Linked DNA regions of Yarrowia lipolytica. The protein of the gene in region 1 purifies or fractionates together with the protein of each later gene. This does not show direct contact. Links are inferred from orthologs where the notes say so. Each region holds a gene or a part of one and is shown in the gene's direction. Other genes may lie near its edges.

Evidence for each region.
Region 2: the proteins of YALI1_D05873g (region 1) and YALI1_E28575g purify together in Saccharomyces cerevisiae (affinity purification with mass spectrometry; 4 studies listed by BioGRID). This does not show direct contact. The link is inferred for Yarrowia lipolytica from reciprocal best matches to the Saccharomyces cerevisiae genes LSC2 and LSC1.

Annotation. Positions count from the first base shown.
Region 1 is NC_090773.1:585,391-592,214, reverse strand, and holds YALI1_D05873g (uncharacterized protein), read left to right. Parts: upstream 1-4,323; coding exon 4,324-4,371; intron 4,372-4,832; coding exon 4,833-6,092; downstream 6,093-6,824. Other genes in the region: YALI1_D05901g (uncharacterized protein), read right to left, coding at 1,495-2,064; YALI1_D05892g (uncharacterized protein), read right to left, coding at 2,614-2,823, 2,874-2,966. UniProt on the Saccharomyces cerevisiae protein: Succinyl-CoA synthetase functions in the citric acid cycle (TCA), coupling the hydrolysis of succinyl-CoA to the synthesis of ATP and thus represents the only step of substrate-level phosphorylation in the TCA.
Region 2 is NC_090774.1:2,854,918-2,861,636, reverse strand, and holds YALI1_E28575g (uncharacterized protein), read left to right. Parts: upstream 1-3,470; coding exon 3,471-3,508; intron 3,509-4,148; coding exon 4,149-5,097; downstream 5,098-6,719. Other genes in the region: YALI1_E28599g (uncharacterized protein), read right to left, coding at 75-1,703. UniProt on the Saccharomyces cerevisiae protein: Succinyl-CoA synthetase functions in the citric acid cycle (TCA), coupling the hydrolysis of succinyl-CoA to the synthesis of ATP and thus represents the only step of substrate-level phosphorylation in the TCA.

The DNA of each region.
Region 1 (6,824 bases):
TAGTAGCAATCACATGACCTCAAGCACTTGGCCTCAATGACAACTCCCCTCTCAGACCTAACCCCTAGGCTGTGTAGCTTTCGGCTAAACCATGGAACCCGTTAATGCGAGGTCTAGACTTTTTTTTTTTTTGTGAATTTTGAATTTTGTCTACAGTACGTTTCTTGGCCTAAGCTAGCCTCGTGCCAGTCTACTTGTAGTCTAGTGGCCAGTCTAGTAGCCAGCCTAGTGGGCGGGTTCCTTGTGTTTCTAAGCACTTGTGCTACAAGACTTGCGAAGAACAAAATAGGAGAATTGGAGGAGGGGGAGTGAAGGTACGTCTGTCATGATGCTACTGTCGTGTTGAGTAAAACAATACACGAAGGTCTTTCCACGAAGCTCAACTTTTTACCTGACATTCTGTACAGGCTTCTACCTAGCCTTTAACAGACTAAGATCTGGCACTCCCTCTACTGTAACAATGACTCTATATTCAGATCTCGCTCCGGGGACTACTACACATAGACCGGATCTACCCACTGGCAGATGCGACACGATACTGGGGTTTGCGGCCGATAATAATCGACAGGCAAACACGTCCATAATTTGGCCGTAAACAGGCGGATTCTGGAGGCTATAGCTCCAAGCTACCGGCTACTATACTGCCACTATTTATCCACAAAAAAGCAATCCTAACCGGTTCAAGTACCTCACACAGAGAGTTGTACTGTAGACATTGTGTTAGACTGGAGGTTAGAAGAATAGTGGAAACATTAGTCGACACGCTAGCCAAGAGCGATGGCGTCATTCCGCGTGACCTTGGGCTTCTCCACCTTTTCCCCCCTCCCTCTTGTATCATTCTGTGGATCACATTTCTTCAGTTTTCTTTCGTGCACCCCGCCGTGTAAGGTGTTGCTTAACCGTACTTGATCGATGCACCTTCAAATCTCTAACCAAAATTCCCAGATTTCTTAATAATCAGACCACTTTTCCAACGGGCTGCAGACTACTGCACTTAAGCCGTTCCTACTCGGAACTTGTGAACCCAAAGTTGCCGCGTCCAGACGGGTCCAGACCCCATTGATCTGTTTGTAAGCATGACACGGTGGCTGCGCACAGGAGACACCTCCCAGAGAGACTAGACAGGGTACATCTAGCTTCTTTACCAGAACGCATACAGTTTGCTGTGCTAGTGCGTGCGCAAGGAGATTGTGGTCTAGCACTTCTGGGCGGTGGGGGGGTATAGTTTTTGGAGATAATCGGGGACACTTTCAGACACGCCAATCGGCAACACTTACAAGTGAGTTCAATTAGTGCCGATTTCGAGCTAACTAACTACAAGTACTTGTCTGGTATGTTTAGTTCCTTGTGTACTGACATACAGTTATAGCACAAGTATTTTGGAGGTGCTATCTATTGTGTTTGGCACAGCACCTTTAAAGAATATAATACATGCAATAATTAAATAATAGGCCAGGCCACAAGCAATTTTCTAAGCTCTTTCGTCCGTCTGGGCTAACGTCGCTTCTTCTTGGTCTTCTTGTACTCGTCCAGAAAGTTGCCTGTGGTTTTGGCAGACTTCTTCGACCTGCTCTTGATATCCTCCTCGTCCGAGTCAGACTCGTCCTTCTTGTTTTTGTCATCAGCGTGTTTCTTTACCACGTAACCCTGTCGCATCACGGGAGTCACGGTAGCCACCGCATTGGCCTGGCTGCCTTTACTGTGCATCTTACTCAGCGCCTTCATGGATGCAGACATCTTGGAGGTATCTGGCTTCGTCACGCGGCCTCCTCCAGGCGCCGTGCCAATTTTGGAGCCAACTCCAGCCCAAGACGCCACTGGTTGCAGCTGCTTGACCAGCAGTTTCTGAGCATCTTCATCCGCGCCGCCGGGATCACTGTCACCGTCACTGTCGCTCATCCAGCCGCTCACGAGCTTCTGGGCCGAGTCAATGGAGACCGCAAACTTGGCGTTAAGTACTTTTGCCTCGTTGACATTGAGCGTGGACATGATGGATATGCAAATGTGGTTGTGTTGATGTAGTGTTCTCGCTGTGATATTTTTCTTGATTAGGTTCTCATGCATGAACTCGGTGATGGAGGTGTAAATGAGCTGCTGCTGTGATCTCGCACCTAGGACTGGTGCAGACGGGCGCCAGACACAGCAGTAATGGCAATATAATGGAGAGCAAATGGCAGTTGGACATGTTCAAACCCATTTGGCATGCCCATACATAAACCACATCCACTCATAACCTGTCGATTCACCCTTACACACCCACACCTAACATTGAGATCCTCCTGGCAAGCACAAATACTGCTACCTCACCTCAACACCAAACACCACAACTCAACTCAGCCCATTGTAAGGAGCATGAACACCCCAACCCCGCCCAGCCCCCCCCCAACTCAAGCACCACCAGCCATACCCTCCATTCTTCTCACATCTGTTGAGTAGATAGAGTTTCCAGTTAATCCGAGTCCGTGTCACCATTGTCGCTGCCAGTGGTAGCTCGGAGCCATTAGCTACGGTGATTAGACCGTGCTGTCGTTTCTCTCGGTCGTTTCAATGGTCCGTACCACGATACAGTTGAGTTCGGAGAAAGTCGGGAGACTAACAGGTTTTAGTGGATTTTCACTGGCAGCTGTCACAGGTCAACGATGAGTGTGCAGAAAGCGGGGATACATTTACGGTACGGACTAACAGGGCGGAGCATGTTCGGAGGGGGTTGTGGTGGAAGGTCTCTCTAGGAGTTGATGTGGTAGTAAGTGACGAGTTGTATAAACACCACGAGCACAACTGACCCACCTTTCTACATTCTCTGTATCCGCAAACCTGACTTGACTGGGTTATGATATCCGTTAGATCCTTTTGAAATTGCGATGCGGAAAAACAAGAGACCCTGTGACTTGACAGGTACCCGGTCTCAAAAGCGGGTGACAGCTATCTTGCGTTGTGGGCCGTATTGAGAGCGTCTTATGCCTCATTGGGGCTGGTTGGATTGTTCTGTCCGCATTGCGGTTGCTTTTCTATTGTCAATTTGGGGCCTCCAATTATTCTGTCACGAATATTTTCCCCGTTTTGTTCCTGCTATAATTTTCTGCTGATCGGTGCCTGTCCGTGGTGGTATCGTACATATCGTAGCTCCTCCGGTTCTTTCCACTCACAGCCGTGCCAGGATGCAACGCCGCTGTCCAGTGGAAGGAGGCCCACGCACACACGTTGAAACTCTGCGCATTGGGTTTGATGAGTGAGAGATGAGTGATTATTGGAGCGGCGGCGGGAGGGTTGGATTAGTCAGCTAGATGTACGATTTCCACGTGACCTGGCGGCCATGAACCACTTAAAGTGGGACTTTTGGTCACCTTCATTCATCACGGTCACCGTCTCCAGCCTAGTAGGCGCGTAATTAGCGTGACACGCCGTTTGCAGAGGGCTTAATTTGAGACGCAAATTTGTAGTGTCTTCGGAGGGTAACGGAGCGCGATTTGCGAGGTTTGGAAGTCGTTTTGGACAAAAAAAGTAGATAAATATAATCTCAGAGTCTGGATTGGTGCTCATACAGAATTCCAAACCTCCGCAACCACCAGAACCATCCCATTTACTCCCTCGACTCCTCCTCTTCCTTCAATTGTCCTCAACCTCGACGTCCCAATCCAACTCTAAAGCCCAAAGTCTATAAGCGAAAAATGTCCACGGCTCATCACCCGCACCACGGCTCAAGTATAATGGCTATTATCGTACCTGTGAGGGGCTACAGTATGAGGCAGGTGGTACCCACCACGCCGTGTGGCAACTGGAGCAGATGGCATGGCTTTATCGGTTCAAATGGCCAACAATTCGGCCTCAATTGACCTCCAGACCTCGTCACGACCCTCGGACTTAGACCCACACTATTTCGGAAACTGTCGGCGACGGCCGCTATCTCCCAGTAAACCATGTCCCCTTGGCTCGGCCTCACAAGGTCTTTACTCGGCACACATGTAAAAACAGAATAACCTTAAGCTGAGCGGGTGCATTTGGAAGAGGGGTAAGCATGAAAGAGAATCGTGTCTAGAGGGGGTGTAGAGCGCAATTGACGAACTGGACACAGTAGAAACCATTGGTGGGCCACTCATAGCCCCCAAGGCGATTCTTGGGAGCTCTCCGTCCCTCCAGCGGCTTTTAGACCGCCAAAGTAGGACGTTTGGTTGCCTCTAAAACCCCCAACACACTAACTCTGAGAGAGCGTCCGCTGTTACCCGGCAGTCAACACTGTGTACATGTTGGTGCTGTCAACCAAAAAGTAAAAGGCTCGTGGATTTCATTTTCCTCTTACCAGCAAACCACACACCATCCCACAACATGTTTTCGCGAATTGCTGCTCGATCTCGAGCTGTTCGACTTAATCAGGTGAGTATTTGGCGCCACAGCCCGCCACAATGGCTCCTACCGGTGTCTGTTTCCGCCGACAATTGTCCTGTTTTTCCGGTGCGCGTTTTTCGGCGTTTGTGGTTACACATGTCCAGACGCTCGGAAACCACGCTGGGGTCTTGTGAACGACACACCGGCAACGTACATCTGTGGATCATGGGCAATTGAGTCGCAAACCACCTCGCCACATTCGTCTTGTTATCTCCAACGGCCTGTTCATTGTCGTCCGGAAAAACGCCTCGGCTAAATGCACATGCATGCACATAATATGAAATTCGTGCGTGCAGAGGGATAATGAGCATGGGCAGGACCAACACAAGCGCAATGCCATTCTCATCGAAGTGGCAATTGACCCCATCGACTGGGGTTCTCTTGAGCCGTCCCTTGACACTGCGTATCTCCCCGTTGTCCAAAAAAGAAATTAATCTCACTAACCACAGGTCGCCAAGACTCAGACTCGAAACCTCTCTCTCCACGAGTTCCGATCCGCCCAGATCCTCCAGAACTACGGTATCGATGTCCCCAAGGGAGGCGCCGCCACTACCCCCCAGCAGGCTGAGGATATTGCCAAGAAGCTTGGATGCGAGGATATGGTCATCAAGGCTCAGGCTCTGACCGGTGGCCGAGGTAAGGGCCACTTCGACAACGGCCTCAAGGGCGGTGTCAAGCTCATCTCCTCCCCCACCGAGGCCAAGATGTACGCCGAGCAGATGCTCAACCACAAGATCTTCACCAAGCAGACCGGTCCCCAGGGTAAGCCTGTGACTGCCGTCTACGTTGTGGAGCGAGAGTTTGTGCGACGAGAGGCCTACGTTGCCATCCTCATGGACCGAGCCACCCAGAAGCCTATCATTGTCGCTTCTTCCCAGGGAGGTATGGACATTGAGGGTGTTGCCGCCGAGAACCCCGATGCCATCCACACCTTCCCCGTTGACATCCACACCGGTGTCACCGACACCCAGGCCATTGAGGTCGCCAAGGCCCTCGGTTTCTCCTCCAAGGCCACCCAGGAGGCTGCTGACGACATCAAGAAGCTCTACAAGGTCTTCACCGACAAGGACGCCACCCAGATCGAGATTAACCCTTTGTCTGAGACCACCGACCACCGAGTGGTTGCCATGGACGCCAAGCTCGGCTTCGACGACAACGCCTCTTTCCGACAGGAGGAGGTCTGGTCCTGGAGAGATCTGACCCAGGAGGACCCCGAGGAGATTGAGGCTGCCAAGCACGGTCTTAACTTCATCAAGCTCGACGGAAACATTGGCTGTCTTGTCAACGGAGCTGGTCTCGCTATGGCCACCATGGATATCATCAAGCTGTACGGAGGTGAGCCCGCCAACTTCCTCGACTGTGGTGGAGGAGCCACTGCCGACGCCATCAAGAAGGCCTTCGAGCTCATCACTTCCGAGCCCGGTGTCACTGCTATCTTCGTCAACATTTTCGGTGGTATTGTCCGATGTGACAACATTGCCAAGGGTCTGATTGCTGTTGCTCAGAACATGAACCTCAACATTCCCATTGTTGCCCGACTCCAGGGAACCAACCTCGCCGAGGCCCAGAAGCTCATTTCCGACTCTGGCCTCAAGATTTTCTCTTTTGGCGATCTTGATGAGGCTGCCCAGAAGGTCTGCCAGCTCTCCAAGGTTGTTGAGATGGCCCGAGAGATTGACGTTAACGTCTCCTTTGAGCTGCCTCTTTAAGCGCGCTTAGAGACCAAGTTATGAGTAGTAATAGATATGTTATAGATAGACGTGAGTGTAGTTTACAATTCGTATACGAATACGAGTATGTACTGTAATAGTACGAGCACGGGTACATACAGTAATTAGAGGCAAGTTCGATCTGGGGTGCATATGGAAAGTTCGGGTCTTAACTCTTCTCCTGTGGAATGTACCACGGGGTCTAGTGTGCACCCTGGCAACATTTTATGATAGTCGAACATGGTAACTTATAGACTTGTAGCTTTTCTTGTGTCTTGTGTTTACTACAAAAAGGAGAGCCACAACACAAGACCCTGTCTATTACTTGTACTTGTACTCTGTAGGACGTTAGCTTCTCCAAAGTTTCACCGGTTGGTACCATTTCTACCATTTTGTGGAACAAAAGCACTGCTCGGCTCGTCTGTTGGATTCTTGGTTGTTTACGGTCTAGGCTGAGATGGGACCCACAGTACATGAGTGTGGTCCTGCCAAAAAAGTCCGACGCTAGGGAGACTACAAGTAGCGACAACTAGTATCGGCACCAGCGCCTCTACTCGTGGCATCGCGTTACATGCTTGTCGTACAGAACCCTGGTGGAGCTATGTGCGGTTAGGCTGAAGCGCTCATTGCCACCGCACTACTGCCGACATAGAACACACGTGGGCGGTCGTTGCGGTATCATTATGTCCACCCTTCTAGACTGACGTAAAACGGCGACTCTTTTGACATCGG
Region 2 (6,719 bases), on another chromosome or scaffold:
CCTCAATATGTACAAATACACAATAATTTAATGTTAGCTATATGCAATTCTCGTCTCACTTTTTTTCCCTCTGATCAAGTCAACTTCTTTCGCTTGCTCCACAGTCCGGAGAACTTTTCGTAGTTGATCTTCTTTGAAGGAGCTCGCTGCTGCACCATCTGTTTAGTACTCTCGGCCGCGTCCTTGGGAGGAGCAGGCTTCTCGCCATCCTTTTGCTTCTGTCGCTTTCGCTTCTTGGGCTCCTTATACACTCCAGCGGCCTTGTCGGCCTCGATCTTCAACAACTTGGTTTCCTGTTCCTGCAGGTACTCCATGTTGACGGTGGTCCAGACGGCCTCCTTGATGTTACGCTCCTCGTCGTTGAGCAGAATGGAGTCGATTTCGGGATCGTCGTCGAGATCCGATAACGACTCGACCACTGGAGGTCTGGCGTCGCCTCCTTCCTTCTCGGCTGTCTGCTGATCCTCCATCATCTGCTCATGGGGTGTTTTCATGGCCAGAAGTGCCTCTGTGGCGGCATTGTTAGCCTCCTCGTTGAGCATTCGACGCCGTTCTCGCTCGTATTCAATGATATACTGGGCTCTGTTCTGAACGGTTCTCTCTGCCTTTTCCTGCGGAGTGTCTTCCAGAAATAGCGCCTCCTTGGCCCGCTCCTCCGGGTTTTCGTTCTTCTCCACCATCTGCGCCATCATCTCCTCCATCTCCGCGTCAATCTCGTCCTGAACCTTCTCCTCAATACCTTCCTGCTCCCGCTTTCGATGCTTCTGGTACGAGGGCGGGTCCGACTGCGACTCGATGTTGGTCATTCGGAACACTGAGATGGTCTGGCGACCAGCCTCGGTGTGTCTGAACTCGTCCAGACGTCGTTGAAGCGTTTCTTCCGCGACCTTGGCGTAAAATGCAATCTGCGTCTTGGACCGACGCTGGTTGTTCATTCGAGCTGCTAGCAGCAATGCGGCGGCGGCGATACCGGCAGGACGACGACCCTCAACCAGATAGTCACGTCCCATACGCTGAACAAGTCGAACCGCGTCGTTTCGCACGTTTTTTGCGTTGTCAAAGTCGAGCTTGGACGCAAACCGCTGAATGTAGATGCTCGGGTCGATCAGTGGCAGGTTCTTGATGTCCAATGTCTTGAGCAGTTGCAGGTAAGTGGTTCCGATAGCAAACACGTTGCAAAATAGCTTGTCTGCGAAATCAATAAGCATTTCATGTCGCAGTTCTCGTCTGCAGGCAACGTACAGACACGCCGAAACCACGTATTGTGACCGTCGGCCCTTGACAAAGTTCTTGGTGACGGCTAGAACAAAATACCGATGGGCCTTTTCAATGATATGTTGGGGGATATCCATGGCGTGTGCGAGCGCTGTGATTCGGTTCTTGCCCTTCTGTAAAGTCAGCTCGCGTGACTCGCCGTGGAAGTTGTTGTTTCGGATACCGGACTGGTCGGCTCCCACAAACGAACCGTGCACCACGGCAGCTCCAGAAGACGACTCTCCGAAGGTCACCTCGGACACAATAGGCGCGTCGTCAACGACAACACCACAGTTGGCACAGGACGAGTCGTTTCCGTCTCGCTTGATCGATGTCGATCCACATCTGGGGCACTTCATGGTGGCTGGACAGTGTTCTGAAGGTGTGCAAGTGACGAAAATGAACAGTTGGTAGGTGATGTAAGCCAAAGATGGATTTTTTATATGCATCTAGAGTTTATGTGGGATGAAGAGAAAGTGGAGAGTATCTGACACGAAGTGAAACGACGGTTTGAAGGAGAAGAAATACGCGTGTTATATATTTGGTTTTTTCTTCCATTTCTGGCGCTTTTTCCGAAATGACAACTATTTTATCAAAATTGATACGAATTTTCCTGATTTTTCGCTGCTTCCATGTTTTGGTTACAGAAGGGAAACCCAAAACATGGACGCTAAAAAACGCCATAAACAATGTCATCGGTGGGATTCGAACTTTCGTGTGGCTAAGTCATTTTCGGAAAAACCGACATACCTGCAAGAGTATCGTTCATGAGATGTCGGCGTGCATGAGCGCCAACAAGCGTGTACAGTACATACATGACATGCGTTGAGATGTCGGAAAAAGACATTGTATATTCACACGACTCGACAAGACGTGTGGTGGTGAGATTTTAAGACTGTTTCGATATTTTTCAGTGTATATTTCAGGTGGCAAATACCACAACTCTAATTAAATAATTTTAGCTTTTGTCAACCCAACTTCTGGGTCCGTTAAAAGGGTCTTGTAGACACAAATACGGCTGGAATTTTGCCTGGAAGACGGCATGTGGCCCATTTATGTGTATGTCACATCACATCTCTGCTCTCGGGCCTTACCCCACCTCGAGTTATGTTCGGCATCTCTTGCACTTGTCAGGTATGCAACATGGTTGGTCCGGCGGCACAACTATAATGGGAGCTTTATTTGGGACAGAATTGATTGTTGAAATGTTGAACCGACGTTTTTCCGTTGTATTTTGCTGTGCTGTGCTGTGCTGTATATGGACAGTAGTGCATCCCATCCCCTGTCTGTTTGTGTGGTCGGACCGCTAGCTGTTAGCTGGTTTTTAGCCATTTTTTCAGCATTTTTCAAGCCTATCATTTTTGCAGCTCCGATTTCACCCATACTTGAAGGTACAGTGAGTGTACGCGTCCTGTCACAACTGATGGCCCAGAGCTGAAAGTAATCATGACTACAATTGTGGTGGTGTCGGTGTTGGTGGTGTCGTGGCGGTGTCGTGTTTGTGCTCAATCCACGAATATATAAACCCCCCGATCTCCCCAGAACCATGACGGAGCCGACATACTCCCGACTCTTGCACTCACCACCAGGCACGCCCCCTCTCTAACTTTGGACCTGCCTCGGTTGGGGGAGGTTTTGCATAAGATGAAATGCACGGCGGCCAAGAATCGGCAACGACCATAGGGAGCTACCGGTGCTTGGGTCAGTGTAGAGCTCAACGGAGTGACTACAATGTGGTGTTGAGCGGCGGTTTACGGAGACAAATGATTTCCAGCTTGATACCGATTGCGACACAGAATATGTGGTGCCATGTGGTGCCATGTGGTGTCTGGTTGTGTATATATATATATATATGGGTCTGGCCTGTGGCGGACTGTCCTTTGCCTTTTGTTATGTTATTTCCCACGCGTTGTTCGTCCACTCCAACACTCCCTTTCTACCCCTCAGTGGACTAGGGTTACCAACATGCTCGGCTTCTCCTCCTACATTGGACCAAGACAAGGTTTGGAGTTTAAGCGTTGGGAGGAACCACGGGTGCAGTCGGTGGTGGTCGGTCGCTCCCCCAGGGCGTGTGTGTGTGTGAGTGTGTGCGGTCCTGTATAATCTCGCACCCAACGCAAAAAAAGCCAAAGGTAAAGTTTCCAACCTTGGAGAACTAAAGAAGACCCTTCTAAGAAGACGGACTTCACACTCTTACCAACCACACAACACACAAGATGTACTCCGCCATTCGAGCCACCCGTATGGGTGTCAGGTGAGTAGAGCAATGGGCAATGGGCAATTGCCAGAGACAAGACGACTGGAACGGGCGCGCCACCACATCCACAAACACACACAAACACACAGTCGTCAACTGTGCACGTTTGGTCACAACTCCACCACACAGGTGCTGCAAACTCGACGGAAAAGAAGAGGGGGCCCGCACCCGTCACAGAACCACCCAGACATGTCTCCACGTGGGTAATTGAGCGTGTACGAGCGTCGAGAAGCCCGGATTGCCGTGTCGGGGACTCTGATCGCGCCCTCTATCGTTGGCCTTTCCACGGCTCTTTTTTTTACTCATGCGCTGTTAATTCCGGAATTTGACGTAACTTTGAGTGGTCGGAAAATCACGGACACTACTGCACGCGTGGGACAGCGTCTCCAGACCTCGACGGCGAGCGGTGCAATGGCCATGACAGCTCCACGGGTTGAGTGCACCGTCGCCAGTCGCCCCCTCAGCAGTGCCGTCTGCAGGTAAATTAACCGAGGCTGCATGTGGTTGTTGATATTCCGGAATAATCCGGTGCATGCAGGACAGAGCGACGACATTGCAACAAAACAGACAACACCGTATGAATGTGACCAGCAATTGAGCTGTAAAATAGACCATCTCCTTCCCCCCACTAACACAGATCCTTCTCCACTTCTGCCCCCGTCCGAAGCTACGCTGATACCGTCAACAACCTGAAGATCAACTCCAACACCAAGGTGCTCTTCCAGGGCTTCACCGGAAAGCAGGGAACCTTCCACGCCCAGCAGGCCATCGACTACGGCACCAAGGTCGTTGGAGGAACCAACCCCAAGAAGGCCGGCCAGAGCCATCTCGGTCTCCCCATCTTCGGCACCGTTGCCGAGGCCATGAAGGAGACTGGATGTGACGCCTCCGCCATCTTCGTCCCCCCTCCTCTTGCCGCCGCCTCTATCGAGGAGGCCATTGAGGCCGAGCTGCCCCTCGTTGTCTGTATCACTGAGGGTATCCCCCAGCACGACATGATCCGAGTGGTCGACATGCTCAAGACCCAGTCCAAGACCCGACTTGTCGGTCCCAACTGCCCCGGTATCATTGCTCCCGGCCAGTGCAAGATCGGTATCATGCCCTCTTCCATCCACAAGCGAGGCCGAATCGGTGTTGTGTCCCGATCCGGAACCCTTACTTACGAGGCCGTCAACCAGACCACCCAGGTCGGTCTCGGCCAGTCTCTCGTTGTCGGTATCGGAGGTGACCCCTTTGCCGGTACCAACTTCATCGACTGCCTCAAGGTTTTCCTCGAGGACGAGAACACCGACGGTATCATCATGATCGGTGAGATTGGAGGTACCGCCGAGGAGGAGGCCGCTGACTTCCTCAAGCAGTACAACCAGACCCGAGAGGTCCCCAAGCCCGTCTGCTCCTTCATTGCCGGTGTGTCTGCTCCTCCCGGACGACGAATGGGCCACGCTGGAGCCATCATCTCCGGTGGTAAGGGTGGTGCCGGCTCCAAGATCTCTGCTCTTGAGGCCGCTGGTGTTGCCGTCGAGCCTTCTCCCGCCCGACTCGGTAAGACTCTTTACGACGAGTTTGTCAAGCGAGACCTGCTCTAGACTGTTAGTTAATTGATAGATGTTATTAGATGAGCGGGTGGTGGCCCAACCAGCACTCTGACGAGAGTGAACGTAGCAACGGTCTGCTCTAGTGATCATAACACTTCCACAGAAGAAGCCATTGAGTTGTAGTAAACGGGTACCAGTGCGATAGTAGGCTGTTGTTCGTATTTTAGACACAACACTTGAGAACCCTACCTTGGAGATGGCCGTATTATGTATCAATTATTGTTGGATAGATGATGGTCTGTTTTCTGATTAGAATTCAAAATAACGACATTCTCTTTCTCAATTGGCTAATAAGAGAGGTTGAGGGAGCTATGGAGGTGGATTGGGGAATGGCGATGAAGTATTCCACAGCTCTTGAGAGTCGGCTATCGTGATATGTTGAATGTATGGAGGTCTCTCAGTCCTCTTTTTTTTGTTATAATCCACTTTGACCACTTGTAAAGCTCTCCTTTCAGATAGTGATCAGGGACAAAGTAGTGTAGCTGACTGAAACTACTGTAATATGTCCCGCTTCACTTCAACAAGACCCTCAAATCATGCACAACTAAACTCTTGTTAGTTTAGTTAGAATTTGTTGGGTGGTTAGTTGAAATAGGAAGTCCACTGGTCACTGGTCTGCATCGGTCTGCTGGGTAACCATTCATTGTTCCCAAAACCATCTACAGCACAAGTGGTATATACCAATGGATGTAATGTAAGCTGTTCATTTAGGACTACGGGATATTGGCCATCCTGGAGACATCGTACTCGCACTCATGTTGTGCTGTTGTATAATCTAATGAGTTACTTTAGCATTTGTTGAAACTTTAGTTAGAAACTTCAGGTAGCTATACGTCCCTTCTACCTTCTACATCTACTCCATGTGCAAATCATACAAACAACCGCATTTACGAAGAGTTGGTGAAGCATTTCCTGTCGCCGACTAAACAACTCAGAAGACTCATTCGCACCGCAACTTGCCCTAAAAGTGAGATTACCTACAGTGCACAGGACTTGCTTGGTATGACTTCGATAGCAATTTGTGTTGTGTTGCTTAGAGAGTTCTGGAGTATAATTGTACCCAATTTAACGCCGGTGATAGGTTTGAGTCAGCAGAAATTCTATCTTTTGTGTTTGTGACTCATGGTGCGATTTATATGAGCACGTTGGAATTATTTCGTGTTTTCGTGATTATCGTAAAATATATTTCACATTGGAGAAATTAAGCTCATGAGATGTGGTGGGGGTGCGGTGGGGGTGCGGTGGGGGGTGAAGTTTGGGATGAATGGGGGCGGGCCATATATCTTGTTCGGTGTTTTGCAGTTGTGAAGTTCAATTTGAATAGCCACTTTTTGCAGCTCTGACAATATTTCTGTATTATTTGCAAGCGATTCTGACCCCAATTGAGCCTGTTGAATGGTGTCATAAAACCAGACGTTGCGCGGGGCCGAACTTTGTTCGAGCTACCAGTAGGGGGGGGGTAACATGTTTGTGATTTTGAAACACTGGGAAACTATGAACTGGACTTTATCCCCTGTATAATCAAGCTCTCTATATGTTTTCGTGTTTTGTGTATATTTTTTTCCATCCTAATCGGCCCATTATTGCTGATTCTAAGTCCATTTTGAGCGGTA